Linked DNA regions of Tamandua tetradactyla. The protein of the gene in region 1 purifies or fractionates together with the protein of each later gene. This does not show direct contact. Links are inferred from orthologs where the notes say so. Each region holds a gene or a part of one and is shown on either strand. Other genes may lie near its edges. The genes, in order: CORO1A, IFT57 and POC1A.

Evidence for each region.
Region 2: the proteins of CORO1A (region 1) and IFT57 purify together in Homo sapiens (affinity purification with mass spectrometry; 3 studies listed by BioGRID and IntAct, counting the BioPlex papers as one, with this or other methods). This does not show direct contact. The link is inferred for Tamandua tetradactyla from reciprocal best matches to the Homo sapiens genes CORO1A and IFT57.
Region 3: the proteins of CORO1A (region 1) and POC1A purify together in Homo sapiens (affinity purification with mass spectrometry; 3 studies listed by BioGRID and IntAct, counting the BioPlex papers as one, with this or other methods). This does not show direct contact. The link is inferred for Tamandua tetradactyla from reciprocal best matches to the Homo sapiens genes CORO1A and POC1A.

The regions. Positions count from the first base shown.
Region 1 is NC_135349.1:24,730,325-24,741,211, forward strand, and holds the start of CORO1A (coronin-1A), read left to right. Parts: upstream 1-6,015; 5' UTR 6,016-6,185; intron 6,186-7,817; 5' UTR 7,818-7,818; coding exon 7,819-8,016; intron 8,017-9,194; coding exon 9,195-9,317; intron 9,318-9,412; coding exon 9,413-9,542; intron 9,543-9,634; coding exon 9,635-9,819; intron 9,820-9,945; coding exon 9,946-10,065; intron 10,066-10,337; coding exon 10,338-10,442; intron 10,443-10,552; coding exon 10,553-10,698; intron 10,699-10,803; coding exon 10,804-10,861; intron 10,862-10,887. UniProt on the Homo sapiens protein: May be a crucial component of the cytoskeleton of highly motile cells, functioning both in the invagination of large pieces of plasma membrane, as well as in forming protrusions of the plasma membrane involved in cell locomotion.
Region 2 is NC_135336.1:38,854,257-38,864,991, forward strand, and holds the start of IFT57 (intraflagellar transport protein 57 homolog), read left to right. Parts: upstream 1-6,070; 5' UTR 6,071-6,194; coding exon 6,195-6,406; intron 6,407-8,797; coding exon 8,798-8,960; intron 8,961-9,758; coding exon 9,759-9,877; intron 9,878-10,735. UniProt on the Homo sapiens protein: Required for the formation of cilia. Plays an indirect role in sonic hedgehog signaling, cilia being required for all activity of the hedgehog pathway.
Region 3 is NC_135341.1:33,701,020-33,712,054, reverse strand, and holds the start of POC1A (POC1 centriolar protein homolog A), read right to left. Parts: upstream 4,829-11,035; 5' UTR 4,399-4,828; coding exon 4,297-4,398; exon of another isoform or gene 3,989-4,296; intron 1-3,988.

The DNA.
Region 1 (10,887 bases):
ACAGCAAATGAAGTGCGGGAATGGGCACATGCTCATGGAATTCTCTGGTCTTACCATGTTCCCCATCATCCAGAAGCAGCTGGATTGATAGAACGGTGGAATGGCCTTTTGAAAACTCAATTACGGTGCCAACTAGGTGGCAAAAACTTGAAAGGCTGGGGTAATGTTCTCCAGGAAGCTGTGTATGCTCTGAATCAGCGTCCGCTGTATGGTGCTGTTTCTCCCATAGCCAGGATCCATGGGTCCAGGAACCAAGGGGTGGAAATGGGTGTGGTGCCACTCACTATTACTCCTAGTGATCCACTAGGAAAATTTTTGCTTCCTGTCCCTGCTACCCTGAGTTCTGCTGGTCTACAGGTTTTAGTTCCAAAACGGGGTGTGCTTTCTCCAGGAGAAACAACAGTGATACCACTGAACTGGAAGTTAAGATTGCCACCTGGCCACTTTGGGCTACTTATGCCTCTGGATCAACACACCAAGAAGGGGATTACATTATTGTCTGGGGTAATTGACCCTGACTATCAGAAGGAAGTAGGACTGCAACTACATAATGGAGGTAAAGAAGAGTTTTCTTGGAATATAGGAGATCCCCTGGGGCGTCTATTAGTACTACCATGCCCTGTGATTAAAATCAATGGAAAACTGCAACAACCCAATCCAGGCAGGACTACTAATGGCTCTGAAACTTCAGGAATGAAGGTTTGGGTCACCCCACCAGGCAAAGAACCACGGCCAGCTGAAGTGCTTGCTGAGGGGAAAGGGAACATGGAATGGGTAGTGGAAGAAGGTAGTGATAAATATGAACTTCGACCACGTGATCAGTTACAGAAACGAGGACTGTAATGCTGTTTTGTTTGTGTTATACTATTTAAGTTGTAAGATATCAAGTTTAAGAACGAATGTTGCCCAAGGATTTGCACCCTATTCTGGAGAGATTTAATGTGTTTCCAGTTATATGCAGGACAGTTGAGTATTGTCAGGTAAAAGAAAAAATGTGTGCTTATTTGTTTTCATTTGGAAATTAAGTATGGTCTAAGGTGATATATATATATAGGTGCCAAGTTGACAAGGGGTGGACTGTCATGGTTAGGGACAGGTGTCAACTTGGCCAAGTTGTGGTACCTGTTCATCTGATTGGGCAAGCGCTGGCCTGTCTGTTGCAATGAGGACATTTCATAGGATTAGGTCATTTCATAGGATTAGGTCATGATCACGTTAGCTACATCCACAGCTGATTCCATTTGTAATCAGTCAAAGGGGAGTGTCTTCTGCAATTAGTGATGCTAAATGCAATCATGGGAAGCCTTTTAAGGAGGACTCAGAGAAGACAGGTTGCATTCTTGCTTTGGCTGGTGAGCCTCTCCTGTGGAGTTCATCCAGGCCATCCATTGGAGTCATCGGCTTCGCAGCCTGCCCTGTGGATTTTGGACTCTGCGTTCCTACGGTCACGTGAGACACTTTCATAAATTTTATATTTGCAAGTGTTCCCTGTTGATTCTGTTTCTCTAGAGAACCCTAACTAATACAATCACATAGTTGTATATTCATCATCATGATTATTCCTTAGAACATTTGTATCAATTCAAAAAAAGAAATAAAAAGAAAATGGAAAAAAATGTGTACATACCATACCCCTTACCCCTCCCTTTCATTGATCACTAGCATTCAATCTACTAAAATTATTTTAACATTTGTTCCCCCTATTATTTAATTTTAATCCATATGTTTTACTCATCTGTCGAAAAGGTACATATGCCCCAATATTGTCCTTTTGGGCATTTTCTCCTCCATTATTAGATCCCATTCAGGATCATGTGTTGCATTTAATTGTCTTTGTCTCTTTAGTCACTCGTTTTATTTTATTTTTTTAATACAGTTTTATTGAAATATATCTTCACATACTATATAATCATATAAAGTGTACAATGGTTCACAATATCATCATATAGTTGTGCATTCATCATCACAATTGATTTTTGAACATTTTCATTACTCAAAATTATAAAAAATAAAAATTAATATAAGAGTAACAAAGAACATCCTAAACATTCTGTACACCCAATCACACCTATTATTCAATTATTCATTTTTTCTTTTCTTTCTTGCTCAACTTTCTATACACTGTAAAAAGGATCGTCTGTCATAAGGTCTTCATAATCACACAGTCATGCAGTTTTTGGTTTCCACTCATCATTATAAACTTTGGTAATTTCTCTGTAATTTAAATTTAGGATATGTATATTTTCTTGGTACATGACTGAAATAAAAGAACCTCACCTAGCAATGCTATAAGACATGAAGTTTTATAAAGTCATGAGGTGCTGGTTTGAAGTTGTCATGTACCCCATTCAAGTTGGCTTTAATCCTTTTCTAACAGTGTCTTTTGTGAGAAAATAAAAGACAAATGTTGAGAGAGAGCTTAGAGAGAAATGCCCTGGAGAGGCCAAGGACCCACAGATTTTCAGAGAGAATGCCACTGATACCAGGAGTTAAAAAGAACAAATCCCAGGACAGAAGCACCAGCAGGCACAATCCATGTACCTTCCCCCGTGACAGAGGAACATTGGATGCCAGTAAGCCTATCTTCAGAGAAGGTATCTTTCTCTAGACTCCATATTTGGATACTTTTAAGGCCTTAGACATGTAAATTTGTAAACTCAGAAATCTCCCTGTTAAAAGCCAACCCATTTCTGCTATATTGCATTTTGGCTGCTTTAGCACCCTGAAACAAAGAGGTTAACTCTTTACATGGACCAATATCTTTTAAAGGTCTACATGCTAAGAATTTGATTTGAAAATCCTACCATTCTGTGAAGTGTTAAGAAGCTTCAATAATTCATGTTTCTTTGTTTAATTTGATATGACTTTTAAAAAAAACATTTCTTTTATCCTGATTTCTAGATTAACACCAAGGTTTGAAAATGAATCCGAATTTTGTAACAGCCCATAAATTTAATCAGGTAGGATGCTAAAATTTCCTATAAAAATTCTTCAACGTCACCTGCAGTTGTAGTTTTATTTTTCGTTCTGTTTAATGTATATATAAGAAAGTATGCTTTCTCCATTTTCCAAGTATTTGATTATTTTTCATTTAATGCTTTTTAGATATATTATTTTGCATTTAAATAACATGCATTCCTTTAATGTATATTAAGGTTTTCTTTCTAGAATTATTTTTTACCATTTTCTTCGATTATTTTTGTAAGGGTAAGGTAAAGTTCAACCTCTGTTTTAGAAGTAAAATGCTAACTTCTCACTAGTTTATCACCGTTCAATAATTTATTCAAATATTAAAATGTGCATTCTTTTCATGTACATTTTGAATTCATATGAAAATTCAACTTTTCCTATGTCCTGTCCATAAAATCACTATATTATGACTTACTTTTGCTCAAAAATCAAAGTTGTCTAAAATTTATATTTGTCACAATTCCTTCATTGTTTGCAATTAGTGATGTCTTTAGTAGCCATTTCTTTTTTTATTAATATATATTTTTACTAATCTCTCATCTTTTGTATGCACTGTGCTTGTCTGTTATTAATGCATTATTTGTTTTTATTTAAAAGCATGAAGTAAAATGGCAAAATTTTACTTTGGTTGATCTGAGTGATGATTCAACACATTTTTGTATACCCTGTAGTTGGTTATAATTCAAAAATTATTCAGAATTTCAAAAGAGGTGATGAAACCTCCCTTTCTAGCTTTTAATTTTTTTTTTTTTTACTGTTAGCACATATACAATCTAGGATATCCCATTAATCACATACAGATATCCATTTCATTGTTGTTAATTACATTCACAATGCTTTGGTACCATAATCATCAACCACTACCAAAATATTTCCCAGCTTTCAAATAAGAACCTCATATGTTTTAAGTCTTAATTTCCCATTCTCTACAGCCATCAAAACCATGGTAAACTACAGTACAGATTCTGAATATGAGTTTTCTTATGTTAAATATTTTAAATCACTAAGATTGTACAATATTTGTCCTTTTGTTTTTGGCTTATTTCACTCAATGTCTTCAAGGTTCATCCAATTTCTCACATGTATCAGGACTTCATTCCTTTTTATGGCAGAACAGTATTGCATTGTGGTATTCTATAATACCACATTTTACTTACCTATCCATCAGTTGGTTCCAAGCTGTTACGCACCCCCAAGAGAAGGCCACGTTCTTTTAATCCATTCCTGTGGGTGTAGCCCTATTGTGGGTGGGATTTTGACTAGATTATTTCAATTGAGGTGTGATGCACTCAATTCAAGGTGGGTCTTAATCCTTTACTGGAGTCCTTTATGGGGATAAAAGAGAAGGAAAAAAAAACATTTGGAGAGAGTTTACAGAGGGAGCATGTCCCCAGAGATGCCGAGCAGAACAACAGATGCTCAGAGAGAAACCCACTGGATTCAGAAGCAGAAAGCTGTAAAGCCCAGGAGTGAAGGACCAGCAGATGTCGGCCACATGCCTTCCCATGTGACAGAGGTGTCCCAGATGCTGGCCTTTCTTCAGAGTCCAGGTATCATATTTTAATGCCTTAATTGGGGGCATTTTCATGGCCTACAACTATACTTTCAATAAATCCTCATTGTAAAGCCTAGTTTTTATATATTGCATCCTTTTATTTTTTAATTGTGGTCACATACATACAACATAAACATTCCCATTTCCACCAGTCCCAAGCATACCACTAGAAGGATTAGTCACATTCATGATGTTAAGCTACCCTCACCACCATCCATTAGCAGCAATTTCCCATCACCTGTATACCCATTAACAGAAACCCTATATCCATTATGCACTCACTCCCCGTTCCCCTTCACCCCTCGTCAGTAACCAGTACTCCAATTTCTGTCTCTACGTATTGCATATTCTAGCTATTTAATATAAGTATAATCATACAATATCTGTCTCTTTGTGCTTGACTTATTTCACTCATCATAATGTCTTCAGGGTTCATCCATGCAATCACATGTATTGGAACCTCATTTCTTTTTTAGGGCTGAATAATATTCCATTGTATGGATATACCACATTTTGTCTGTCCATCCATCCATCGGCTAGTGGACATTTGGGTAGCTTCTACCTCTTGGCTATTGTGAACAATGTGGCTGTGAATATTGGTTTACAAATACGTCTGAGTCTCTGTTTTCAATTATTTTGTGCTAGAAATGGGATTGCCAGGTCATACAGTAATTCTGTTTAACTTTTGAGGAACCACTAAGCAGTTTTTTCACAGGGTCTGCACCATTTTCCATTCCCACCAACGATGTACTGAGGTTCCTATTTTTCTGCATCCTTGTCAGCACTTGCTGCTTTCCGTTTTGTTAATACTAGCCATTCTAGTGGGTGAAGTTGCGTCTCATTGTGGTTTTGATTTGCATTTAGCCTGAGAACATTTTAAGGGCAGGAACCTGACTCCTTCAGCTCTCGTAGGCCCTTGCACAAAGTAGGGGCTCCATAACTTCAAATTACTTCATTTGTTCCCCACCATAACCCTGTGAAGCAGGCAAGGCAAAGGTGCTCCCAGGTGAAGAATCAAACCCAGAGAGGTTAAGTGTCTCCGGGAGTCTGAACAAGAACTCCGTGGGTTCTCGTGAGTTCACGTCCGACCGTGACTTTCCCTTCTTCCCGTGCGTTGGGGGGGAGCATGGGGGCTGGTGCAAAGGCCTGAGGCGCGGCCTGCAGGGAGCGTGCACGAATGCCAGGGTAAAGGATGGAGAGGAGGCTGCGAGGGGACTGAAGGTGGGAAGGAGAACAGGATATTTTCGCATTTTTGACATTAAGACACACACGCGCGCGCGCGACTCCCGGGGCCCGGCCGGCAGCAGCATCTGCTTTGGTCTGGAATTGGCAGCGAAAGGCGAGGAGCTTCTCCCATAGGGAGGAAAGGGAGGGTGCGGGCTCTGTCGGGGCCGGGCTGGCGGGCGGGGCCCTGGGGAGGGAGCCGGCGAGACCCCGCAGGAGCCCCGCCCCCAAGGGGCGCGGCCACCCGAGGAGGCGGGCGGACGGCCTTGGCTCATTCATTGTCTTGACAAGAGCATCCTCAGCGGGCGAGTCTCCAGGGCCGCCAGCTCCGTCCTCCTTCTCCTCCTCCACCTTCTCCTCCTTCTCCTCCTCTTCCTCCTCCTCCTGCTCCTCTTTCTCCTCCATTTGGGGGGTCGCTGTCATCTCTCAGCGGCAGGTAAGGCTGAGGCCCCTGGGCGGAGCCGAGTGGGGTGCGGGGGAGCTGGCCCGGGAGACCCGGCATCCTGCCTTGGGCCACCTGTGGGGCCCGCCGGCCTGGCTGAGCCGGGCGCTGAGATGAGCAGAGGGAGCCCGGCCCTCGTGCCAGCCGTGAGGGGACCGTCCCTGAACAGGGTGGGGTGCGAACACGTGACTGTCCATCTGTCTGTCCGAGGGTGCGTTGAAAAACTGAGAGTGAAGGCCCGGCACAGCCAAGATGGAGATGGGGAAGCTGGGAGGGGCGTCAGTATTAGCCAGAGGGGTGCGGGACTCATGTCAGGCACTGACTGTCCCCAAAATGGGAGTCTTGGGGTGGGCAGGGTGGGGTGAGCACAGCAGCTGCCCTGAGCTTGGAGACAGGAAGGGGTTGAGAGCAAAACAAGAAAAGATCAAGTTCCCCATTCTGTGGTTTCCGGGCCTGGTACCTGCGGTGGGGGAGGAGGCGGGGTGGGGTGATGGCTTCCTGTCCCCCAGCCTCTTGATTTGGGGCTCCCCTATCCCTAAGACCCAGGCCTCTCACCTGGGACTGGCTCCCACCCCCACACTGCTCCTTTCACAGGGCTCCTCACTCCGCTTTCTAGGCAGGCAGACCTGGGGCCCTCTCAGGGGTCACAGGGTGGGCAAGCAGGCAGGAGCCCCCAGTGGGACAAGGACAGGCCTGAAGTTACAGCTGGGGTTGTGGGGCAGAGTCTCTGGGGAGGCCCCTTTGCTGGGAAGGAAAGTTGGGCACCAGGATGGGCCTCTGGAGCTTGGGAGAGCTAGAAGCACTCCCCTTGGCTTCTCTTGCTCTCCACCCAGCCCCAGTTGGGGAAAGCCATCCTAGCTGGACCTGAGATGTCAGCTGCTCCCTCCTGTGTAGAGAGCTCTGATGGGCTGGATATGGCACTTCAGAGCACCTGCTTTTCCCGAGCGGAGGCGAGAGGCAGAGTGTGGGGGAGGAGGCGATACTGGGACAGCAGCCATCCGCCTGGTTTTGGTGCCCAGAGACCTCCTGGGGAAGCCATCCTGCCTCATTCCCTCCTGGGCAGGCCCTCGTGCCTCTTCCTCCTGCATGTCCAGCCCTGTGCCAGGAGGCGAGGGAGGGCCAGCGTCTGCCTACAGGGAGCTCCCCGCGTGGGCTCGAGGGATGTGAGGGCTGCTCACTGGAACAGTGTGAGAACCCGGCCTCCACACTGCCTGGGCTGACAGCCCCCGAATCTGAATGAGAAAGAAAGGGCTCTGCATCCATCCACCCATCAGTCAACAGTGTGCGCTAGTGCCTTAGTGCCTTAGTGCCTACCCCCTCCAGGCTCTGCAGCGCAGGCTGAGGGCACAGAAACGGGGGTGGGTGGGTTAGAGTGGCCTGGAGTGGACAGAGCTGGTGGGCCTTCCGGGCTAGACAGGAGTGAGCAGGGGTTGAGGAGGGTGAGCAGTGGGGGAGTGGGATGTCTGTTAGGGAGGAGAGTTAGGGGCCCGGAGCCCTGGGAGATGATGCTGGGGAAGTGAGCCGAGGCCTTCAGGGCCAGACTGAGGGGTGTCGTGGGGAGGTGGGGCCGTTGTGATGTCAGAGTTGGCCTAAAGGGATAAAAGGCCCCAATCCGTATGTCCCCAGGATGAGCCGGCAGGTGGTCCGCTCCAGCAAGTTCCGCCATGTGTTTGGACAGCCAGCCAAGGCCGACCAGTGTTATGAAGACGTGCGCGTCTCACAGACCACCTGGGACAGCGGCTTCTGCGCCGTCAACCCCAAGTTCGTGGCCCTGATCTGTGAGGCCAGTGGGGGAGGTGCCTTCCTGGTCCTGCCCCTAGGCAAGGTGAGGCCTGGAGCCCTGGGTGCAGTAGCTCCTTCCCCCAAGGGGGCCTCCGGCCAGCAGTGGCCCCCTGGATTCCTAAGTGGGTGGTTGCCACCAAGCTTCTCGGGACCTCAGTCTTGTCATCAAAATGGGGCTGGGCCAGGTGAGCCTGAAGTTTCCTCCTGCTCTTCCATGTGGTGGTTAAATGGAAACTGAGGCTCAGAATGGGGAGATGACATGAAAAGGGTCACATAGTGAGTCCGGGCGAACGCAGGACCGTGCCTACCAAGCCTCAGTCTGGAGAACACAGAGAGGGCAGGCTTCTTGGGAGCTGGGAGGGACCCTACCTGAAAGACCAGGCTGAGCCCTTGAGGACAAGCAAGCGCTGGCCCCAGTTCACAGGCAGGGATGAGGCAAGAGGCCTTCTCCCCTCCCCCAGGCCTGCCCTCCCCCTGGTCCTGCTCTCCCACCCCCACCCCCACCCATTGCAGTCTGCTGACCCCCTCCTCCAACACACTCTTGTGTTCTTTAGGGGGTGAGACAGGAAGGGGAGATGGGCTCTAGGTTGTTACCTTAAAAGGGCCGAAAGAGGCCAAGAGAAGAGGAAGTGGTTGTCGGGGTGGGAGCTGGGCCGGCACCCCGCACTGCCCTCCACACAGGAAGCCCTGCTGCGGCAGTTGTCCCCGGAAGAGGCTATTTCCAAACCTCTGCTCCTGCCTGGGGGCCAGTTATGACAAAGTTCCCTGGTCTTTCTCCTTTTGGAAGGCCCCTTCCCTGAACCCAGCCATTCACACCCACTTTCCTGGAAAGCCCTGATTCAACCAGCCCCCACCCCATCCATCCCTGCTCCATTGCCTTGGCCTGTATTGCCCATGAAAGCCTCACTCTGGCAGCAGGAGACCCAAGAGCCCAACTGATGCCGACTCACAGGGCCCAGATGAGAAACTGAGGTAGAGACTGGCAGGACCAGGAACCATTGCAGCCCCATATCCCCAACTCTGCTACCTGTGGGCAGCCCTCCAGGGCAGGCCCTGATGGCTCTGGGATTGGCAAACAGAGGGGCCAACTCTCACCAGCCAGGCCCTGGTTCAGATCCAAGGGACCCCACAGCCTTCTGCTCCACACGTCTGTGGGTGGGAAGTTAAGACCGGGTTTGGAAGGCAAAAGCATCCCTCTCAAGGCCCTGCTGTGCCCTCCAGACTGGACGTGTGGACAAGAATGTGCCCACAGTCTGTGGACACACAGCCCCTGTGCTGGACATCGCCTGGTGCCCGCACAATGACAACGTTATTGCCAGTGGCTCCGAGGACTGCACAGTTATGGTAAGTGGCAATGGGGACCCAGGGGCCAGGGGGGAGGCTGTGGGCAGGGATAGGGAGGTTGGAGCCCCAAAGACTCACTAGACCCTTCTCGGCAGGTGTGGGAGATCCCTGATGGGGGCCTGACGCTGCCCCTGCGGGAGCCTGTTGTCACCTTGGAGGGCCACATGAAGCGCGTGGGCATTGTGGCCTGGCATCCTACCGCCCAGAATGTGCTGCTCAGTGCAGGTGCCATGGGGACTGGGGACTGGGGACTGGGGTCCAGGGCTGGTGGTGGGGGGCCTGACCCAGATGGGTTCTGACATGGGGGCCTTGTCCAGGCTGTGACAACATGATCCTGGTGTGGGACGTGGGCACGGGGGTGGCCATGCTGACGCTGGGCCCAGACGTGCACCCGGACACAATCTACAGCGTGGACTGGAGCCGGGACGGTGCGCTCATCTGTACCTCCTGTCGTGACAAGCGCGTGCGCATCATCGAGCCCCGCAAAGGCACTGTGGTAGCTGTGAGTTGCTAGGAACCTTCACCCCTGACCTGAGGACTTACCCACCATCCAGCAGGCCCCTGGAGGCCATCCTCTCTCGCCCCACCGGGGGTCTGGCCAGACCTACTCCCTCCCTTTTCCTTCCAGGAGAAGGACCGTCCCCACGAGGGGACCCGGCCTGTGCATGCTGTGTTTGCGTCTGATGGGAAGATCCTGACCACAGGCTTCAGCCGCATGAGCGAGCGGCAGGTGGCACTATGGGACACAGTAAGTGCCAAGCCCACACAAGCAAGAGGCCTTGTGGGAGGGAGGAGCCCTGGGCTGCAGATCCAAAGGCTGGAGGTTTACTCCCTACCTGGCCACCTCCCTGGCTGCATGGCCTGGGGCCTCACTTTACCTATTTGCGAGATGAGGATTTAGCTGGTTCATCTTCGAGGACTCTCATGGGTTGACACTGAAGTGAGGGTCACTGCCTTCTGAAGGTCACCACCCCAGTGCCTGGCATAGCCCAGCTCAGTGCTCTCTTCCTATCTCTGCAGAAGCACCTGGAGGAGCCTCTGTCTCTGCAGGAGCTGGACACAAGCAGTGGCGTCCTTCTGCCCTTCTTTGACCCTGATACCAACATTGTCTACCTCTGTGGCAAGGTGGCCCAGTCAGGCTGAGGTTGGGGGGAGGCAGGCAGGAGGGGCTTGGAGGGGACCCCAGCTGGAGGCATCTTTTGGTATTGATCGTCTTTTGCACCCACTGTCTGCAGGGTGACAGCTCTATCCGGTACTTTGAGATCACTTCCGAAGCCCCATTCCTGCATTATCTGTCCATGTTCAGCTCCAAGGAGTCCCAGCGTGGCATGGGCTACATGCCCAAACGTGGCCTGGAGGTGAACAAGTGTGAGATCGCCAGGTGACTGAGCCCCGGCCCCAGCCCGAGCATACTCTGTGGGCAGTGCTGACCTCCAGCCCCAGCCCAAGCACGCTGCAGGCACTGCTCACCTTCCTGTCTCCACAGATTCTACAAGCTGCACGAGCGGAGGTGTGAGCCCATTGCCATGACAGTGCCTAGAAAGGTGATGCTCCTACCGCCCTCCCTGGG
Region 2 (10,735 bases), on another chromosome or scaffold:
GGAAGGGAGACCCAAGAAATTGGTGCTGCACCTGAGGATTTAATCAAATGTGGACCTAGTCAGCCATTTCAGAGAAAGCCAGGATTGCAAATGGAGTTATCCAGGAAGGATTTGTGGAAACTCCTGCTGTCTGCTGGGCACAATCCTTGCTTACTACTTAGGAAGCCAAAAAAGAGTGTTGTGGGACCTGTATAAATGGAGCCACTGCCAGTCCGGCCTGGGGGGCTCAGAAAAGGAATAATGTCTTGGTAAAATAACTTCAGAAGCAGAAGTATGGAAACTAAAGTTTAAAGTCAAAAAACCTCAGCCACGAGAACTGACCCCCCCCAAGTACTTGGAGAGGATGAGTTTGATTAGATTATCTCCATGAAGATGTGGCTCCACCCATTCCGCATTGGTCTTGATTAGTTTATTGGAATCCTTTAAAAGTGGAAGCATTTTGGAGAAACCTTCAGAATAACAAGATTCTGAGAGAACAGAGCCATGACACGGTAACAAGAATGACAAGAGCCAGAATGCAGGCAACCAGAGACCTTTGGAGATGAAGAAGGAATATGCCCCCGGGAGAGTGTCATGAAATAAGAAGCCTGGAGAGAAAGCAAGGAGATGCCACCATGTTCGCCATGCACCTTTCCAGTTGAGAGAAACCCTGAATTTCATCAGCCTTCTTGAACTAAGGTATCTTTTCCTGATGCCTTAGATTGAACATTTTTATAGACTTTCTTTAATTGGGACATTTTTTCAGTCTTAGAACTGTCAACTAGCAACTTAATAAATTACTCCTTTTAAAAAGCCATTCTGTTTCTGGTATATCACTTTCCAGCAGCTAACAAACTAGAACAGGTGCCATGCATGCTCCGGAGCACTTGTTATGGGGCCAGTTACTAATTTATGCTGATCTACTTCCTAGAGCTAGCAGTTTCTTGTCATTCCCATTGCCACCCATCTCTGTTCAGGACTTTCTTTCACCTGACTATTCAAATAGCTTTTCCATCACTTTTCACCTTCCCATAGTCCCTCCTCTACAATATTGCCAGAACACTCAAAGATACAAATTTGATCACATCCTCCCAGAATATACATACCTACTTAAAGTCTGTTAATAGTCATCCCATCACCTACACGGAGGCAGTAAACTGAAGGCAGTTCACACATACATTTTATTTCTCCCACACCTTTTGCTCATCAAGAAAACAAACCCATGGAGCCAGGCAAAGCTTTGAGATATATAGAATATCATTGAATGGTACTTGCCATGAGAGCCAAAGTTAGCTGAAGCAGTCAACTATAATCTTGGTGGGATTAAACAACTTTTTTTCTAGTAGAAAAGAACTAGGAATCAGAAGTCCAGGGCATGAACTGCAAAACCACTTCCTTTTCTAAGTTAGGTCTTAGGATGTTCCATTGGTGTTTTGAACAAGAATTATTCTACATCTGGCCCAGGAATCTTTCTATACATTGGATGGAAAACTTCACTGAAGTTTTCATGATCATTGATTCCTTAGGTGGGTGAGTATATTTTAACCCTCAAAGTTGCAACACTAAGTACAGCAATGATGAATTCATAAAAAGATACAATATGTTAAAGAATGAGTTTGATATTTAAATATCCATGGTTGAAAATTTGGCCTATTAGAGAAAAAGACCAACTTATAACTCCGATTTATAATGTGTAATTGAGTAATTGACATAGATTTTGTTTTAAATTGAAGCTAGGTTTATACATAGTATTGAAATACACAATAGAACCTAGCATATGCATGCACGCATATACACACACACACACAACACCCTGTCCTTTTTTAAGCTTTTAGACTTCGTACCTGGAATGGTTTGTCAGACAGAATGCTTAAAATAATTTTATAAACAATGTAAAAAAAAAAAAAATTGACTGTAGCAAACACATTTATAAATTGAATAAGATTTTAATATCAAACTAAAGAACTAGGCTTCTTAGTTTTAAACTTTAATGTTTTAATCAAATACCTTTAACAACTAAGCGCCTGAAATAGTGTTTTCTGTGCAAAGCCACCCTCAAGAGCATTAGGATGTCACACTGTCACAAAAATCCAGATTCAGATCCTTGTAAAATCAGAATACATGGCAAAATTGGACTGCATTGCTGCCTGAAATGATGGTCCCCTCCTTGAGATGGTACATGACCTTTCTAGTTCACCATAGTCCCCTTCACATGTCACATTTACATACTCAGACCTTATAAAGACACTTGAGATTTTGACCCATTCATCCAAAACAGTGATACTCAAACAGTGGTTATTGGCCCTACAAGGAGCCATTTGGCAATGTTTAGAGGTATTTTGGGGGTTCTCATAACTGGCATCTAGTGGGTAAAGGCCAGGGGTGCTGCTAAACATCTAAAATGCAAAAAACAGACTCCCTAAACTTATTAGCCTAAAATTTCAATAGTGCAGAAGTTGAGAAACTCTGATCTGAAAGAATACAACTAAACCCCTCAGCTTAGCACAAAGGCTTTGAGCAACCTATGACCTTTGTGCATCCTAGAAACTAATCCACTGACATTATATGGGTTATAAATATCTTCACTGTTTAGAGTTCTTTGTTGTACCTAAGTTCTTAAATTGATGTGCATGAGTTTCTCTATTCTTTAAAATTTGTTCTTTATTTCTTTCAAAAGATCCTTTCCTACCCTAGGGTTAAAAATGTTTTAATATGTTTTCTTCTAAATATTCTACAAGTATTTTACATTTATACCTTTAATCCATCTGTAATTTGTGTGATAAGAATCAGAGATAATTGTTTCCATACGGATAGTCCATAACAAGGCTTCAACATCTATCAAGTAGTTCATCTTTCTCTATTATTTGGCAACACCAACTGTCAGATACTGTTTCCAGGATCTTTATTTTAGGTTCTACTTTTATTGGAATCTTGCAATTTGATATGGTGACTCATTTCCTATCTTTGAGCATTAGGTTCTTTAGATTTTTCCATGAATGTAGAAGTTTATTGATTTCTCCATAAAGATAATGATAAATTTACTCCTGGGGTATGATGTCATTTTTTTTATTGAAGGTTTTGTTTGTTTGCTTGCTAACTGCTATTTCCATCAGCTTTTTCTGTTCGGATCTCATCTATAGTAAACTTGCTAAGTTGTCTTTTAATAGGTTTCTGTAGATTCTCGGATTTTTTACTTTGTCAATCCATCACCTGTAATGGTTTCTACATTTTGCAATACTTGCTCCAGTTTTCTTGTCTCAAGGTACTGACTGATTTCTAGTACAGTTCTGAAGAGTAGATGTCTTCATCCTCAGTTGGTTTTAGAAGGATTCACTTCTAATCCTTCACATTTAAATGATTTTTCCCCCTAGGATTTTTAGTCAAACACTTAGCTTTATGAATCTATTAGTGTAAGGAATTTTATTCTATGTGGCTTTCTAAATTTTTAAAAATCATGAATGGGTGGTACTGAGCCACTTTATGACAAAGCTGCTTTGTCCTTTACGGCCGCCCGATCTTCTTGAAGACTTTTTCGAACATTTGGAGATGCAGCTTGATAGCCTTCCTCCATCTTTGAACCTGCCTCCTCTTCACCCCTAGCTTTCAGGGAAATCCACTTGGCTTAAAACAGCTTTGAATGTAACGCTACTCAGTTTTCAGAGATTAACCAATTCACAAAAAGACCTTAAGGGTCTCAAAAACTATCTCTGTTTATTTAATAGATAGTTTGCAAGAGATAAAGTCAAAATCAGAAGCCTGCTATTAATTGAGATCAACAGAGTAGAGCCAGGGATAGATCTCCCTTAAGATTCTTTAAAAGTAGTGTCAACATATTCATTCTCATCAAGCCCCACCTAATTCCTTCCTCCACAAATCAGCTAGTCCTGCAAAAGTTAACACAAATGTATCCCAAAGTTTCTAAGAGGCTGACAGCTAGAAGGGGATTTGAGTGCATTCTCTCCAATGAAGGAAAGTAATTACGTCAAGGAAAAGACCTCTCAGTGTTACCAACTATTGAGGGTAACCAAGGAATCAGTAAAAATAATTTGTGGGTCTTATGAAAAGGAATTGACATTTCAGTGTTGCTTTCCAATCTTTTTGCTGTGAGAAAACATGCAGTGTTGAAAAGCTAAGCTTCACTTCTTTCTCTCTGCCACAATTACTGAGGACACTATATTTCATTCGTTTTCCCCTCACCTCTATCCTTTCTTTTCCACAACAGTTACAAGATAATTCTTCACAATGATTCCAGGTTAGGCTGAGTCAGACATGGGAAGGGGATGGCTAGGTTTTACAAGTTTTTCCCCCAAAATACATCATTTTTGGAGGATTTCTTGTCACCCCAAAAAAGCAACACTTGATTATATTTCACACTGCATACTATATAAGATCCTGGAAATGTCAGAACTTTTTAAGTAAGCAGGGTGCCCTGCATCAATGACGATCTTCTTGGGCATAACCAATTTACCCTACAAAGTCTGATACTTACGTATTAAAAAAAGCTACAGGTTGCTTGTTGATTAAGCAAGCACCCCAAATCATCTGAGCTTTGGAGTTTATTTTCCATCCTAACAAGCTATCTTGTACTCAGAAAGTTATGCAGATGTCTCTTCCCCAAACATACATACACCCACACACTCACAGAAGGTGGAGTGGAGACTTAAGGAAAAGGGGGGAAATCACTGTTTGTGAAGGTTATGAAAAGGAAATATTAATTTGACAATGGTGTGGAGCCAAACACAATTTTCCCACTTATCTTTATTGAAGACAACTGGTTAATGACTTATAGCAGGGAGGCAATGCTGTTTAATTAAAAAACATTTCTCAATGCCTTTCCCTTTTGGATTAGTCTACAATGATGTGTGTTTCCCCTTTTTGATGAGATTTGCTTTCTAATTTTACTGATACCTTTATAGCTACCAAAAATAAGTTAGTTCTAGACAGATATTAAAATGAGAACAGACTTTTGCCCATTTTTTAAACAAAAATACAAAGATACTACAGGCCCATCGCAAACTTCAGTTATGTCAAAAAATGTGATTTCTATATTCTTTAGTGGCATATATAAGAGATAAGAGAGCCTCAAAAATCACATTAAAGACAAAACATATATTTGAGCATTTGTCTTAATTTTTCTTCTCCCAGCTACCTCCCTCTTACGCAGTTGTTAGGAAAGCTGCTTGATTCACAGTCTTGAGAACCGTAGATCTGGGCCACAGCTGTGGTCAGTGATGTCCCCTTTTTGCATTTTCTAAGACAATAGCAGCAAAATACATTATTGAATAACACCTGGTCTTTAAGCACACTCAGGCGTTTGGAATTCCTTTCAAGCTAATTGTCTCCTTCATTTTGTTCGTTTTAACAGGGCTTCCCAGAACTTTATACTATGTGAGACGGGTTTGAAATACATTAAGGAGCAAGATAGGAGCTAAATGTTCTTTTTTGAAATGGAGCAAATCCTGCCTGAGGGGCCTCCTTTTTGCTTTTCAGTTTCTACTTCCCTACCTGTTCCCCAACCAATCCCTTTCCTAGCACTGAACAAGAGAAAGGAATTGGAATTCTTCACGCTTTATAATATAGTGTTAAATAAGTAAAGCACTACCAACGAGAGGGAGAAAAGATTAGGTTACAACAAACAAAAACTCCTTGTTGTAGTTTCTGAGGTAAAGTAAAATCCACGCTATTGACTATCTTTATAACTGAAAATTTTCAATTTTAAGAAGAAAAAACTAGGTTTCAGTGGATTAGCGTAGCCTTCACTACTGCATGTCTTCATTTCCCTTCAATGTTTTTAACTTAGCTACCAACAGATCCATACACCAACCCTGCAACCCCGTCCAGCGAGAGAAGCTAAGCAGATTGCTAGCATCCCCCTCCTTTGCTTTTAAGCGGCTGCTGGAGGCTGAGCAGGCTGAAGCCGGGAGCGGAAGCCACGCCTCCAAGAAGGGCGGGCCAGCCTCCCAGCCACATCCTCCGCAAGGTGAGGGGCGGGGTTCACGGTGACGTCATTCGGAGGCCCTCTGTGATTGGAGGGAATTTAGAAGGGAAACAGAGGGCCCAGGAAAGAGGCGGAGCCTAGTTTCCTTGGTGACGGGTTGCCCGGCGGGTCGCCTGGTAACGGGTCGCGGGTGTTTTGGTTGTGGCAGCGCAGGCGGTGGAGGCCCGGGAGGTCTGTGGGCTGGAGGCCCCGCCGGCGTCCTTCTGTCTGCTCTGCGATGGCTGCGGCCGCTGCAGTCGTCACACCGACAGGTTTGGAGGATACAGTGTCTCGGACCCGCAGCGAAGGGGCTGGAGAAATGGTCGTGGAGCGGGGGCCCGGCGCGGCCTACCACATGTTCGTAGTGATGGAGGACCTAGTGGAGAAGCTGAAGCTGCTCCACTATGAGGAGGAGCTCCTCCGGAAGAACAACCTGAAGCCCCCGTCCAGGTGGGTCCACTCGTCCCTGAGCGCCTGGGTCCTAGCTGATCCTGGGGGAGATGCCTTCCCGCGTCCTACTGGGGAACGCCGAGCACGGGTTAGAAAGCACTTTCCTCCATCTTCCTAGTCGGGGAAGGGCAGCTTACCCCAAACTCAGCGACACTGTTGTGGAGCCCACAGAGTTCAGACTTGGTATTTTTGTAGAGAGAGGAAACAAGTTTTGGAATGTCAGAGGGACTAGAAGACAGCTAGCCTATTCTCTAAAATGTACACTTGTCACAAAACACAGACTGTATTTTCTGATTATAAAAGTAATAAAAATACCCATTGTAGAAAGCTTAGAAAAACACAAAATTGTGCAGAAAAATACTAAAGTCATCCGTAATCTTATCCTCAGGAAGGAGCACTGTTATTTAGCTCTATTTCTAGTCTTTTAATTTCCTCTGCGAGGACCTTTCCATACAACTGGCAACTGCAGGTACCTCAGACTTGCTGAGTACTTTATATGTAAACTTGTTGACTAATTGCTATGGTTTAAAAGAACTTCTTCTGCCTTTGCAATAAAGGTACTCTCAGAAACTAAGAAGTGGGAAGCAGAAAGAAATGACAAAATATTGAAATTGTCTCCTGGTAGAACCTAAGGTTCTGCCCTTGTTCCTACTGGGGAAAAGTTTATCTTTCCTTGATGATAGTACCATTTCTTGCTTGAGAGTAATGGATAGCAGCACTTTCTCCTCCAATTAACATAGTCCAGCTATAGTCAAATGAGTTTTATAGGGACTACATTTGTTTATTTTGTATAAGAGGCAATTTAGATTAAGAAGACTGAGCATTTTCTTTTAAAGTTTGTAACTAGGTTAAAGTAATTTTCCTCGAAGTTTTAATTTCATTCCTCTGCTCTTTTCTAATAATTTAATAGCATACTATGTAGACTTATGTAAACTGTCCATATTGCTAAATCAATCCATAATGTCAGAAAAATTGGAGGAGGAAAAAGTAGTATTGCTTGATCCATGATAGAACCTGTTAGATGAGGAGTTAGCATGAATTGATCAGGATAATATAGACAACTTACATTTTCTATGTTAATAAAAATTCGTTACCTTTTTCCCAATATATTTTTCAAACTAAATGAAAATGACCTCAAGGTTCTGTTGATATCAAGCTCTGTACTCTTTCCTCAGGAGTTCAGCAAGATACTTTGAGTCATGAATACAAATGAAGATATGCTGGCTCAGTGGTTCTAAAAGTGTGGTCACCAGACCAGTAGCATCAGCATCACTTAGAAACTCACTGGAAATGCAATTTCTCAGGCCCATTCCCCAATCTACAGTATCAGAAATAGGTGTTAGCATTTTGTGTTTTTAAAAGCCTTTTTGGTGATTCTTATGTACTTCAAGATTTGAGAACCACTATCCTTCCTCTTTGTTGGTATATCAGTTTCTACTGTCCTGGAGGGGTAATCGGCTGAAAAGGAAAAGATGAGTTATTGGTAAGTGGGTGCTTTGAAAGGGTCCTGAGCCTATATCTGAAAGGGCTGCAGGGCCTTTCCTTCTTTCTCAGCTTTTTGTTATTTTCAAGAACATTTATTTATCCTGCAGGAGAAAGTTTGGGAAACATGAAGAAATAAACCATTAATTCTTATGACAAATGGTGAGAATAGCTATTAATACAACATAAACATAATAGTAATACCTTTAAGTGAAAAAAGCAGGATAAGATCTTTGTTCAGACTGACTTGAATGCTATTGCTTGCAAGTTTTATTCTTAACATGTTTAGGTATAAATCATACTGATCCTCATAAGAATTTTTTTAGTAGGCTAGATGATTTAACAAAAGTTAACAATATTTGTTAGAATGGAGATGTGTTACTCTGGTTTTTTAAATCCTCGGTATACCATAGAACCATCTTGGGAGCTTTTAAAATAGACTCATACTGGGCTCCATTCCCAGAAGTTCTGGATTCATGCAAAGATATTAATGGCATGTTAAAAAGTAAAAATTTATTGTGAGTGGTCATTAATGTGTTTTTAATAACTCTGAGTTTCCTGTTTCCAGATTACCATTTTCAGGAGGCACTCTCTTATTATTTCTAACAGCTTAAATGATTTTGGCAAAACTTCCACATACACTACATTTTCTAGATATAAGGTCTTTGAGGTAATATTTTATGTACAGTAGTAATTGCCCTAATCCTATTTGTTAAAAGTTTTAATGTGAGTGCTGTGGATTACTGGAAACTTTAAGGGGTGAAATATTAGTGTCTTTTGATTTTAAGGCCATTTGAAAAATGGAAAGGGTCCTTTGGCAGATTTGGACTGAGCGTCTTTAGGTACCACAGACTTGTTTGCATTATTTCATATGCTACTTCTCTCCCCAACCCCCTTGTTTTGAAACAGACACTATTTTGCCCTGCCTACCAACCCTGGTGAACAGTTCTACATGTTTTGCACTCTTGCTGCTTGGTTGATTAACAAAGCAGGACATCCCTTTGAGCAGCCTCAAGAATATGATGACCCTAATGCAACAATATCTAACATATTATCTGAGCTTCGATCATTTGTAAGTGTAAACAACTCTTTTCTTTCTGCACGTTCTCAAGTTATGAACTTTAATATTGGTGATTCCACAATATAAATGCTAGATGCTTCGATGAATTCTCTCTGAATATATGTAGCTACATCTTAATTTACTTTCAGATAAAACCTTCTCAGAATGCTTGATATTCATTTTATACCACTTCTAAAAATTGTTCAGTATACACTCATTATTGCCCAAAATAATGTTTTTTCTTAGTTTTGAAATGTCTTAAAGTAAATTAATGGGTGCTTAGTTCTTCCTTTAAGAAATTAAAAAAAAAACAAAAAACAGCTAGGAAGCTGAAACACTGTATTTTAAAAGAGAACTGTGATTTACTAGACCATAATAAAAGTTGTGCTTTTCATTTCTGACTTTCCTGAGGACAGGCAGTGAGATATTTTTGTCTCATATGTTACTCATTTTTGACAAGTGAATCACTCTGCCCTTCATGTGGTTGTTTAATGATGTGATACCAAGTGAATAGTTTCACTGATTTTTTTCAGCCCAAGAGGATCAGTGATTTATTCTGCCAGGCAGGAGGTTATTGCCTTTTAATTTGATACTTTGACAATAAAATGTCTGTTTCCTTAGTTTTTAAATTTATCTGTAGATTAAAAATAAAGGAACAAATAGGTGGATTTTTAAGATACAATGTAATTACAGTTTAAATCATATTTGAAAAATGGTAAGGGATGTATCTCTTCAGCTGTTCTTTGCTTAAAATGTTTTGGCATTTAGAATATAATAAAAATAATACCCTGTTTATCTTTTGTATTTCAGGGAAGAACTGCAGATTTTCCTCCTTCAAAATTAAAGTCAGGTTATGGAGAACATGTATGCTATGTTCTTGACTGTTTAGCAGAAGAAACATTAAAATATATTGGTTTCACCTGGAAAAGGTAAACACTACCCAGCCTACTTATAGTAATAGCGTCTTCTTCTAAGTGTTCAGAACTTTTTACTTGAATTGAAAGTGATTTCCTCTTGACTGTTCTAAATTGAAAATGCCCTCAGGTGATTAAGAAAAGTCAAAGACAAAATTGAAATATCCCGTGTCTTCAAAACCAGTTCTGGCGATGTATATTATTGTGCTCCTTCCTTGTTCAAATGTATACTTATCAAAGATTTAACTGTAACTGTATACCCTTGTCAATTTAGGAACATTTAAAAAAGTCTTGTGTATGTATTTATTTAGACATATAGGCATAGTATATACATGGGGGTAATGGATAGCTGCAGATTTAAGGGAAAAATGGAAATGGATATAGTGTTTTAAATGGGATTTTCCCCTTTGCTTACAATGACTGGGCAAGAATAATACTGAAGTAGCCATCTGACACTCTCCTAGATGTTGTTCATTACTTCTTTCTCTGGTCTGATAGTGCTCTGTTAATGTTTCTATAATATTGTATTTATCTTGGTATTAAAATAATTTGTAGGCCTGGCTTTCTTGCTAGAAATAATAAAGTCTTCATATGTACTATATGGCAATTAGCAGAGTGCTTGGTGTATCACAGTTGCTTAGTAAATGTGAGACACATGGATGAGGAAATAAAATATCCTAGATTATCAATTTATATAGATTATAATTTGAAAATACATGAATTTGGTCCTTTGACGGTAGAGATTATCGTCAGGTTAGAGAATGTGGAACACATTATACAGGTAAAATGAGCAAGCAGTAACTTGTAGATTAGAATTAATTTCTGTAGAAAGGTCCTTGTTAATATTTTAATATATTCTCAATTACATTCGTT
Region 3 (11,035 bases), on another chromosome or scaffold:
AGCTGTATGTACTGCAGAAAAACATGCTCTTAAACTTATCCATTCTTGCAGGTATGAATTCATTGTTAAATAGGACCTTTTGAGGGGATTACTTCAGTGAAGGTGTGGCCCAGCCCAATCAGGACAGGTCACTGGGAGTTGTTTCTTTTTAAACATTTTTTAGTATGCGAATATATAAAACATAAACAGAGAAATAACAAATTTCAAAGTACAATTTAACAGTCATAGAGCAAATTTCAAAGTATGATATAGGTCACAGTTCCACAATTTCAGGTATTTCCTTCTGGCTATTCTAATACCCCAGAAACTAAAAAGAAATATCAATGATTCCGTAGTCATAAACCTTTGTCAAATCCTAACTTCTCTGTTTCAGGTCCTCCCTCTCATTTGATCGTTCTCTCAATCTTCAGGGATATTTGGGCAATGACCATTCTAACTTTATCATGTCAAAAAGGTGCTTTGACATCTTGGGGTAGGGGAATGCAATTGGTTGATGCTCTGGGAGAGACTAGTACCTCTAAGTTTCAGGACTTATCTGGTATAGGAACAATCTCGAGGTTTTAAATTTCTGAAAAATAAACAGTAAGTAAACCTTTCATAGAGTCTTAGATAGAATCCTGGGTTTTCTTTAGGATTTTCAGGAATACTGTTAGTTGGGGCTTGGCATACCATGGCAATTTGTAATAACCGGCTGTCACCGGAGTTCTTTATAAATAGAAATGAAATTCAGAGACAAAACCACAGGGATCCAGAAGAAAACAGAGAAGCCAAAAGAGGCCGCCATGTACATTGCTACATGACAGAGGAGCCAAGGACGAAGGATCGCCAGCAGCCAGCCCTAGAATGCCAGTCTTTGAAGAGAAAGGATGGCATCTATGATGCCTTGATTTGGGTTTTTTTCTGGCCTCAAAACCATGAGCCATTAAATTTCCGTTTTTTAATCAACCCATTGCATGTTATTTATTTCAAAAGCCCAATAAACTAAAACAAACAAGTACAGTGAAAACTAAAAAACATCACTGAAAAAAATTAAAGATAACCCAGATAAATGGAAAGACGTCCCATGCTTGTTGTTCAGAAGACTTTATATCGTCAAGATGGCAATACTCCCCAAATTGATATACAGATTCAACACAATCCCTATCAAAATCCCAGTGGTCTTTTTGGCAGAAGTTGACAAACTAATTCTAAAATTCACATGCAAATGCAAGATACCCAGAATAGCAAAAAAACAATCTTGAAAAAGAACAAGGTTGTAGGGCTCACAACTTCACAAGTTACCACAAAGCTAGAGTAATCAAGACAGTGTGGTATTGGCATAAAGACAGACACAAAGATCAATAGAATAGAATATTGAGAATCCAGAAATAAACACTTATATTTATTACAGCTCAGTGATTTTTGACAAGGGTTCCAAGACAATTCAACAGAGAAAGACTGGTCTTTGCAACAAATAGTGCCAGGGCACTAGGATCTCCCTCATATGAAAGAATGAAGTTGGACCCCACCTCACACCATTTACAAAATTTAACTGAAAATGGATCAAAGATCTAAATATAGGAATTAAAACTGTTAAACTTTTAGAAGAAAACATAGGGGTAAACCTTGGTAGCCCTGGATTAGGCAATAATTTTTTATGTATGACCCCAAAAGCACAAGTGACCAAAAAAAAAAAAAGGACAAACTATACTTCATCAAAATTAAAAATGTTTGTATACCAAAGAACAATATCAGGAAAGTGAAAAAAAAGTGAGGGGTAAAGGGTATGGTATGTATAACCTATTTTTTTTCTGTTATTACTTTATTTCTTTTTCTGTTGTCTTTTTATTTCTTTTTCTGAATTGATGCAAATGTTCTAAGAAATGATGAATATGCAACTATGTGATGATATTGAGAATTACTGAATATATATAGAACAGAATTATATGTTAATGTTTTTGTTTGTTCTTAATTTTTTTAATTAATAAATTTAAAAAAAAAAGAAAAGTGAAAAGACAATCTACCAAATGGGAGGAAATATTTGAAAATCACTGATCTGTTAAGGGTCTAGTATCCAGAATACATAAAAAAAAAACTCAGACCATTCAATCACAAAACAATAAACAATCCAATTAAAAAGTGGGCAAAGGATTTAAATAGACATTTCTCAAAAGACATAAAGATTGCCAAAAAGCACATGCAAAGACGTTCAACATCATTTGTCATTAGGGAAATGCAAATCAAAACCACAATGAGATACTACTTTACACACACTAGCATGACCATAATCAAAAAGAACCAATAATGAGAATGTAAAGAAATTGGAACCCTTACACACTGCTGGTGGAAATGTAAAATGGTGCAGCAATTTGGAAAACAATTTGGCAGTTTCAGAAAAGTTTAAACATTCAGTACCATATGACCTGGCAATTCTACTCTTAAGTATCTACCTAAGAGAACTGAAAATATATGTTCACACAAAAATTTGTATACAAATGTTCATAACAGCATTATTCATAATAGTTCCAAAATAACTGAATGTTTAAACTTTTTTGAAACTGCCAAATTGTTTTCCAAGTTGCTGCACCATTTTACATTTCCACCAGCAGTGTATAAGGGTTCCAATTTCTTTACATTCTCATTATTGGTTCTTTTTTATTATAGTCACAGTAGTGTGTGTGAATTGCACACTACTGTAGTTTTGATTTGCATTTCCCTAATGACAAAGTGGAAATAACCCAAATGTCCATCAATTGATGAATGGATACAAAAAATGTGACATATTCATACAATGGAATATTATTCAACTACAAAAAGTAATGAAGTATTGGAATATGCTCTACATGGATGAACTTGAAAACACTATCCTAAGTGAAAGAAGTCAAACATAAAAGGCCACTTACTGTATGATTCATATGAAATGTCCAGAATAGGCAAATTCAGAGACGAAAAGCAGATTAGTGGGCCAGGGACTTAGGGGAAGGGAGAAATAGGGAATGTTTGCCACTGGGTACTGGGTTTCTCTTTGGGGTAATAAAAATGTTCTGGAATGAGATAGTGGTGACGGTTGCACAATATTGTGTGAATATACTAAAAGCCACTGAACTGTACACTTTTCAAGGGTGAAATTTAAGGTATGTGAATTATATCTCAAAAAAATTATTTTTATAAAATGTCCAGAGAGAGAAAAGCACTGTTTTCAGCACTCCCATCCTCAGGACTCAGATCCCATACCCTCAATACCACCACAGAAGGGCCAGTGAACCCAAAGGTCAGTTCTGGACAGGCTCTCAGTGGCAGAGCTGCCACTCCCCTCCACTCAACATTAGAGAACTAGGGCTGTTTAGGGAAATGCTCGAGAAGATATGGAGAGAACACTGTGGAGACTCTTCATCCAACAGCAGATCGTGTCTCAGCACATGTTATATTCCAGCCCTCTTAACATCTACCCCACGTCCCCTACCCAACCCCCTGCAAACCTCAGAAACCTCAAAGAAGCATCCTGGGGTGCCCTGGGAGCCGAACAAAGCCTTCTCTTGGGAAAGGATGCCCTTGAGGCAGGAGCAAGGCCCCACCACCCCACAGAGTTGTGCCCAGAACAAAGGTCTGGCGACTCTGTGCCCAGTTTCATTCCCAATACACCTGTCTGACTCCCACTTTCAACAACAGGAGACAGTGGCAGCTGGGGAGCCTCCCAACAGAGCAGCACCCACCCCAAAGCTGCCACCTGATCCTCCCAGAAGACCAAGAGTAAGATAGCAGCAGCCTGTAGGTTCAGCGTGCAAAGGCAAGTACAGGTCCATCCCTGAGGAGGGTGCCCCTGAAAAGACTTAACACCCCCTACCCCAATCCCACAGGCTCTGTGTTTCCCTATATGTAAGACTCCTCTTCCCAAGGGATTTAATAACCCTGGAGGTTGTGGGGTTTGTGGGGGGCACAAGACTAGGGGCCAAAAGGTCTGGATCCTGGTCTGGGCCTCTGCCCAAGTTTTCAGACGCCTAGAGGCCATAGGACTCCACCCAGTCTCCTAGACTCTCCAGAAGGCCAGAGGACCAGGCAGGTTCCACGCAACCCAGCAAAAGGAAATGGGCTTTGGAGTGCTCCCCTCTGCCCTCTGAGGGAGACCGGGACTCCGAGACGGTGGCCTGGCTAGGTCACACAGCAGATCTGTGACGGCCCAGGCCATCAGCGGCCAGCTGTGCCCTCAACAAGCACCCATCCGGAAGCCCGCTGCTCACGGCTGACACTGAGGCCAGAGAGGCCCCAGGACACAGCTCGAGCCAGGCTGTGCTGTGACTCCCCCACTAGGATGCAAACCCTGGAAGCAGGAATTGGTGTGTCGTCCCTGTAGGCCCAGGCAAGGAGACTAAGACCGGGAGTCCGCCACCGAGAAGGACTTACCCGGCAGGGGAGGGCCATGGCGCCCGAAGGGCCAGAGGAGCCGGCGGAGGCCGCCGTTGCGGCCAGTTCAGTTTCCGCGCCCCAACCGCCGCCAATAACAACACTGGGCGCTCCGCCACGCCCCGCCCACAGCAATTAAAGGAGAGGCGGTGCAGCAACTTTTTGCCCCCGACCGGAAGCAGAGCAGTATGGCAGGTTCCTTGTTGTACGCGCCCAACTCCGTAAAGCTGGGAAGACCACCGGCGGCGTAAGCAAAGGCCTCTGTCCACAAGCGCTCATTCCTCCTCAGAAATTAAAAAGCCCGGGACGAGACTATTCGCCCCACCGACCCATTGGCCGGCTAACGTGACGGCGAGCGCCGCTTTCTGGGAAGTGTAGTTTCGAGCACCCAGTATCCTTGTATCTGGAGGAAGATGGAACTACGTTTCCCAAGATCCCATGAGATCGGGTCTGGGTTGCCCCAGAAGCAAGAGCCTTAAGGATCCCGGAAGTGGAGGACACGTGAGTCGCTGTGTTTGTATTGCCTTAAAGCACCGTTACGGGCGCGGCTTATGTTTCGCAGAAGACTCTGTTTAGAACAGATTATTCGCCCTTCGGGAACCCTCTTAAACTCTTTAAACCTTCTGAAAGCAATTAAAACAGGGGCGATGTAAAAAAATCTCGAGGCACTCGGAAGCATATACATGTAGTGTACAGAATTAGATTCTAATCACAGCTCTTGCCCTGATTCACTATGTGACATCAGGAAAAACTCCTCTGCTATCTGGGTCTCTCAGTTTCTCCATTTGTAACCTGAGGAAGTGTGATATGACCTAGCCCACTCTGGATGTTTCAGCTTGAGAAATCCGTATAAATTGAATACTTAATAAAAGAGGGCAGGGCCACTGTGGCTCAGCAGACAGAGTTCTCGCCTGCCATGCCGGAAACCCGGTTCGCTTCCCGGTACCTGCCCATGCAAAAAAAAAAGAAAAGAAAAAGAAGGCAATCCAGGAGCCTGTCCACCAGAGGCCGTCCCTACTCACTCCCTGCCCTCCGCAGGTCCAGAGAGTAGGCAGATCTGTGAATCTTTACTCCTTCTCACTCCAAGCATTTTCCCAACAGGTAACTAATCCCCGACCGGATATTTTGCATGATTCGGGAGACTTTCATCACCTCCCCTGGTCAGGCGGGCTTGGCCAAACTCCATCACTGATTAGGATCTGGCCAGGCACTGAGATTTCTTACCTGAGATGGTGTGTGCCTGGACCTGTAAGCCAGAGCTCAGTTCTCTAAACTCAGAAACTGATGGTTTGGGGGTTTGGCCCTGGAAGGTCTAGAGCAGAAAACAGGAAACAGGACTATAACTGTGGTTTGGCATTGAACTGGATACTTTGTTAGAAATGTTTGGGCTACTTTAACTTAGATACTATGAAAGTCCCCTTAAAACAGCCACCAGCTCCCTGGCTCACTCCCATGCACTCTGAAACTGGACAATTTTCAGCATTCCCACCAACATTTGCTTCTGAATCAGTAGTTCTCTTGTCTGCCAGCCAAAGATCTAAGGGAGAAAGTAAAGGAAGAAAATAAAATCTAAATGCAGAATAATCTGTTCATTAAACCTAAGAGTTCTTTTGTGGCTTTTTAAATTTAGTTTTGTTTTGTCAGTTTTATTAGTGGAACACACCTAGTCTATGGGAGCTTGCAATTTATAAATTGAATTTAGAATAACTCTTCCATAGATGATTTTCAAATGTCAGGCTTACTCAAAGAAACACTGCAAGATTTTACTCACTGTGGTAGTTCGATTCAGTTGTCAACTTGGTCAGGTGAAGATGCCTAGTTATATTGCTGTGAACGTGAGCCGATGGCATGTGAACATCATCTGTTCCTGATTACATCTGCAGTCGGCTAGGAGGCGTACCTGCTGCAATGAATGATGTTTGATTTAATTGGTTGGTGCTTAAATGAGAGAGCTCAAGGTAGCACAACCCAAGCAGCTCAGCATACCTCATCTCAGCACTCTCAGCTCAGCCCAGGCCCTTGGAGATGAAGAAAAAAATCACCCTGGGGAAAGTTGTTGGAACCCAGAGGCCTGGAGAGAAGGCCAGCAGAGATCACCCTTTGCCTTCCCACCTAAGAACCTCAGTTGAAAGTTAGCTGCCTTTCCTCTGAAGAACTAATGTAATAAATCCCCCTTTATTAAGAGTCAATCCATCTCTGGTGTGTAGCATTCCAGCAGCTAGCAAACTAGAACACTCACCTTTCCTAGTCTTTCCTTCCTAGTCTTTACCCACCACTGGAGATGCCCCAACCACTCTTGTTCATTTCTTTGCCAAAATCTGCAAAGAAGTCCATTCTGACAATGCTACACAGACAACCATGGATACAACCTACACAAGCCAAGATTGGTACCTTCACTTTCTGACTAGGCAGGGCCCCGTTCCCCTCCACCTCTATTAGATTGATTCCAGTTTGCCTGGGGCCTCCATGTTGGGGAAATCCTTTGGGAGGAGGAGTTGGAAGGAGTTTCTTTTTCAAGCCCCCCTCTGGCAGGGCTGTATCCATCCCAGTGCAATGTCTCCTTCAAGAGCCCTCCTTAATCCAGTATGACCTCATCTTAACTTGATTACATCTGCTAGGACCCTATCTCCAAATAGATCGCATTCCCAGGTTGCCAGTGGACATGAATTCAATGTGGTACAGGTCTGGTGACAGGACTGAATATGGCATGTCTGGGGAACAAGGACAAAGGTGGGGTAAGAAGTAAAAACAGATTGTGAGGCCACAAATGTAAACAGGATTCCTGGGAATCAGCCCAAAAAGGTCAGGGAGCCACATGTTCTGTCCTAGGGTTGATATGAGCCGAAAGAGTGTTTTCTCCTCCACTCCCCACCATGGATGAGGCTGTGGGCACCAGGCCCACTTTTTATAGGAATGACCCCTTCAGATGCCCCTTCTTAGGGAGTCCCACTTGCAAACTTGGACCTCAGTGGCACCCACTGTGGAATTGATGTGCCTCTGCAGGTTGACTTTCTCTAAGGGCAGGGCATACCTCAGAGCAGGGAGAGGTCCAGTAGGGCCATAAACCTTCAACCCTGCCCTTTTCCATGCGTATTGCCAATAGCATTGGCCCCTCTGGTCTGAAGCCTATGTTTCAGTGACCTAAAGTCACTTTATGTAAGTGTCTAGTTTGGGTCCACCCTCTGATGTTGAAAACAATGAGTAACATAACTGGAGTTACTGTGGTGATTCTGGGGGCATTGTTGTCCATGGGTCCAGGATTCACTGGGACTAATTTCTAGGAAATGTGAGGACGCTGAGCTGGTTTCTCAGGCAAATCAGATGGGTAAGTCTTTGAGTGCTGAGTCCTCCTACCCACATCCCATGACCATGACCCTGAGCAGGTCCACAAGAGAGGCTGAGCCACTGTTTCATCCTGTCCAGGTAGAAGGGCAGCTCAGCTGTGATAAGGGAGCAAATCCTGCAAAGCTGAGGGTGAGGGCATGGTACAAACACAAGAAGTTTGAACTCAAAGCTGAGCTCCTCCTGGTAGATAATACAGGTGGAGCTTGAAAGCAGCGGTTCTCAGCTCTGCTTGCCATTCAGAACCTCTGTAGTGGAGCCCAGTATTCAGTGTTTTTTTTTTTTTGAACACTCCCCTGGTGAGTCTGGCAGACAGTTAGGGCTGGGAACCACTGATCTAGACCAGCATCGTACAAAAAAACTTTCCTTGATGATGAAAATGTCCTCTCTGCACTGTCCAATATTGTAGCACTCATCACATGTGACTGCCAAACACTTGAAATGTGGCTAGTATGGCTGAGGATGTGACTTTTAAATTTTATTTACTTTTAATTAATTTATAATTAAATTTAAACAACCAGGTTGTGACTAGTGGGTACAGAACTGGACAGTGTAGCTGTAAGCTGTGGACAGGCCCATGGCTTTGGGCAGGTCACCGAGGCTCCAGGACTTCAGTCTCCTCATGGGGCTGTGGGGGGCATGATGTCCAATCTATGGTAGCTGTGGTGATGCTTTGTGCCTTGGGCACTTGTATTAGTTTCTTGTGGCTGCTGTAACAAGTGGCTACAAAGCTAGTAGCTTAAAACGACATAAATGTATTCTCTCACAATTCTGGAGGCTAGAAGTCTGAAACCAAATGTCAGCAGGGCTATGAGCTATCTGAGCCTCTAGGGGGAAGATCCTTCCTTACTTCTTCTAGCTGCTGGTGACCCCCAGGCATTCCTTGGCTTGTGACAGCAAAACTCCGATCTCTGCCTCCATCTTCTCCGTGTTTCTGTGTGTCTAATCCAATCTGACCTCTTCTTCACTTAGTTACCCCTACAATGACCCTGTTTCTAAGTTAGGTCACCTTCACAGGTACCAAGGGTTAGGACTTGAACATGTCATTCTAGGGGGACACAATTCAACCCATCACAGCCCCACTGTCCAGTTGAGGTGAGTTTGGAGACACAATCCCAACCTGGGGACCCAGAGCAAGACAGAAGCAAGCAAGTCACAGCAGCTTGTGCCCTGTGGCAGATCTGTACCAGCTGCCCCCAGAGGGTTAGCTGCCCCAGAGACCAGAGGATAATCAGATTTCCCTCCCCTAGGAACCCCTAAATTGTGGTATGATGAACTGGCCTGGGACAGTGAAATAACTAACATCTTTCATTTGCTTCAGAGACACTGTACACTAAATACCACGTGAAATCTTAACTGAAACTCCAGAGGTGTTGGAGTATTATGTTCATATTACTGATGTGGAAACTGAGGTACAGAGTTAGTAAATGGGGAGCCAGGATTAGAACCCATATCTCTCTTTCTGCACAACGTGTACCCTTCATTCTAATGCATACAGGAAGATGGACTGAAAAGCCTTGAATGGTGCCGACCCCGATAGGACTTGATATCCTCAAGACTTTCACCCTCCACAGCGGAGATGAGGGCAGAAACTGTCCCAAAGTGTTCAAGCCCACACTAAAAAGTCCTTGGTGTCTTGTAGTTTATCTCTTAAACTGTCAGGTAAGTTCTGTACCTACTCCATTTTACAGCCACTTCTTTTTAATATCAAATTGGTGTTCTAATGATAAATGCAGTTGACTTGAAGTAGAGCTGATGATCAGGAAGATGCCCCTATTTATCTTGTGGTTTCATGTTCCGCTCATCATCATGCACCAGTTTGAGAAGGTAGGTGTCGTTGTTTGCCAGGCGGCTGTAACAAAACCATACATTGGCTCAAACAATGGCTCATGGTTTGAGAGGCTAGATGTCGAAAATCAAGGCATCAGCAAAGCCATGCTTTCTCCCCCAAATCACTAGCATTCTGGTGCTGGCATGCAGCAGTCCTTGGGGTTCCTTGGCTTAAATCTCTGCTTCCCGTCACATGGGGGTCTCCCTCTGTCTGGCCTGGCCTTCCCCTGGGACATCACTTGGCTCCTTGTGAATGTCACCCCCTCAGAGGTCCTCCTTCAGCCCTCCCCAGGCATCCTCTCATACCTCCATCCTCCTACTCAGGTCCTATCTCTACCAAAAATTATGGTGTCTGCTTATATGGTCTTCACTCATCGTCCATCTCTCCTGATTGGGAGCTTCATGAGGGCAGGGGCCACGCTGTGCTGATCACTGCCAGGGTCTAGACACTCAGACTTGTCTGATGAATCAATCCCTGGAATCACCAGACCTGGAAGGCACCAGAAAATATTCCTCCCAGGGTTCCCAGAGATGCTCATACTCAGGGAGGAGCTTTCTATGAAATCGAGGACAGGCCATTTAAGTCCACAAGTATTTGTAGAGTGCCAACCCTCGGCCCTGTGCTGAGATCACCAAGCATTTGTGGATTGCCAGGTGTGTACCAGCCCCTTTGCCCAGCTTAGTCGGGGAGAAAGGCTGACTAACTCCTGAGTCCCTGCCCTAGGGCAGCCAGAGAGGGAAGGAGCCAGCTCTGCCACTAAGCAGGTTGAGCTCAGCAAGTGTTCCCGGAAGGAGTCAAGTTCAGTACTGAGAGAGGTGCTCTGTTGGTAGGATGGGGATTTTGGGGAGGAGGAGAAGGCATTTGTGGGGGACTTGAGGGACAAGCAAGTATTCCACAGTGACATGGTGCCCCGGAAGGGAGAAGTGTGGGATAAAGGAGACACACCATTTTTCCAGGGTGAGGCAGGCAGTGACAGGCCTGCCTAGTGTGGGCTCACCTCCACTGCCTCCTTGTCCACCTGTCAGCTCTGCTGCCCGCCCTCAGGGAACGTCTCTAAGGTGCAAGAGGCTTGCTCAGGTGGAAAAGGCCTACCTATGGTGAGTCATCCTAGGGTCCCAGGTAGGCTTGTCCCCACAAGTCACTTACACACTCAGGGCCAGGGCAGCCACCCTATACGGGCAGGAAAACTGAGTTCCAGATTGGAGAGCGAATGCATTGTCTGGTCCTGGACAAGAGGGAAGGGGGCTTGGTGTAAATGTGGGGTAATGACGTTTGTCAACCTCCCTGGGGATTGCCATAAGCTCTTTTACCTAAAGCCCATCTGTGACTCCCTATGCCCTTGGGATAAGGCCGGACTCCCAGGAGTGCCCTTCACAGCCCACCTGGTCTGCTACTGCTGCTTCTCTAATCTCAACTTGCAGCCACACACTAGGACCACCTGATGGGCCAGAACTTTCCTCCTTGTATCTTTTCTACCCTGTT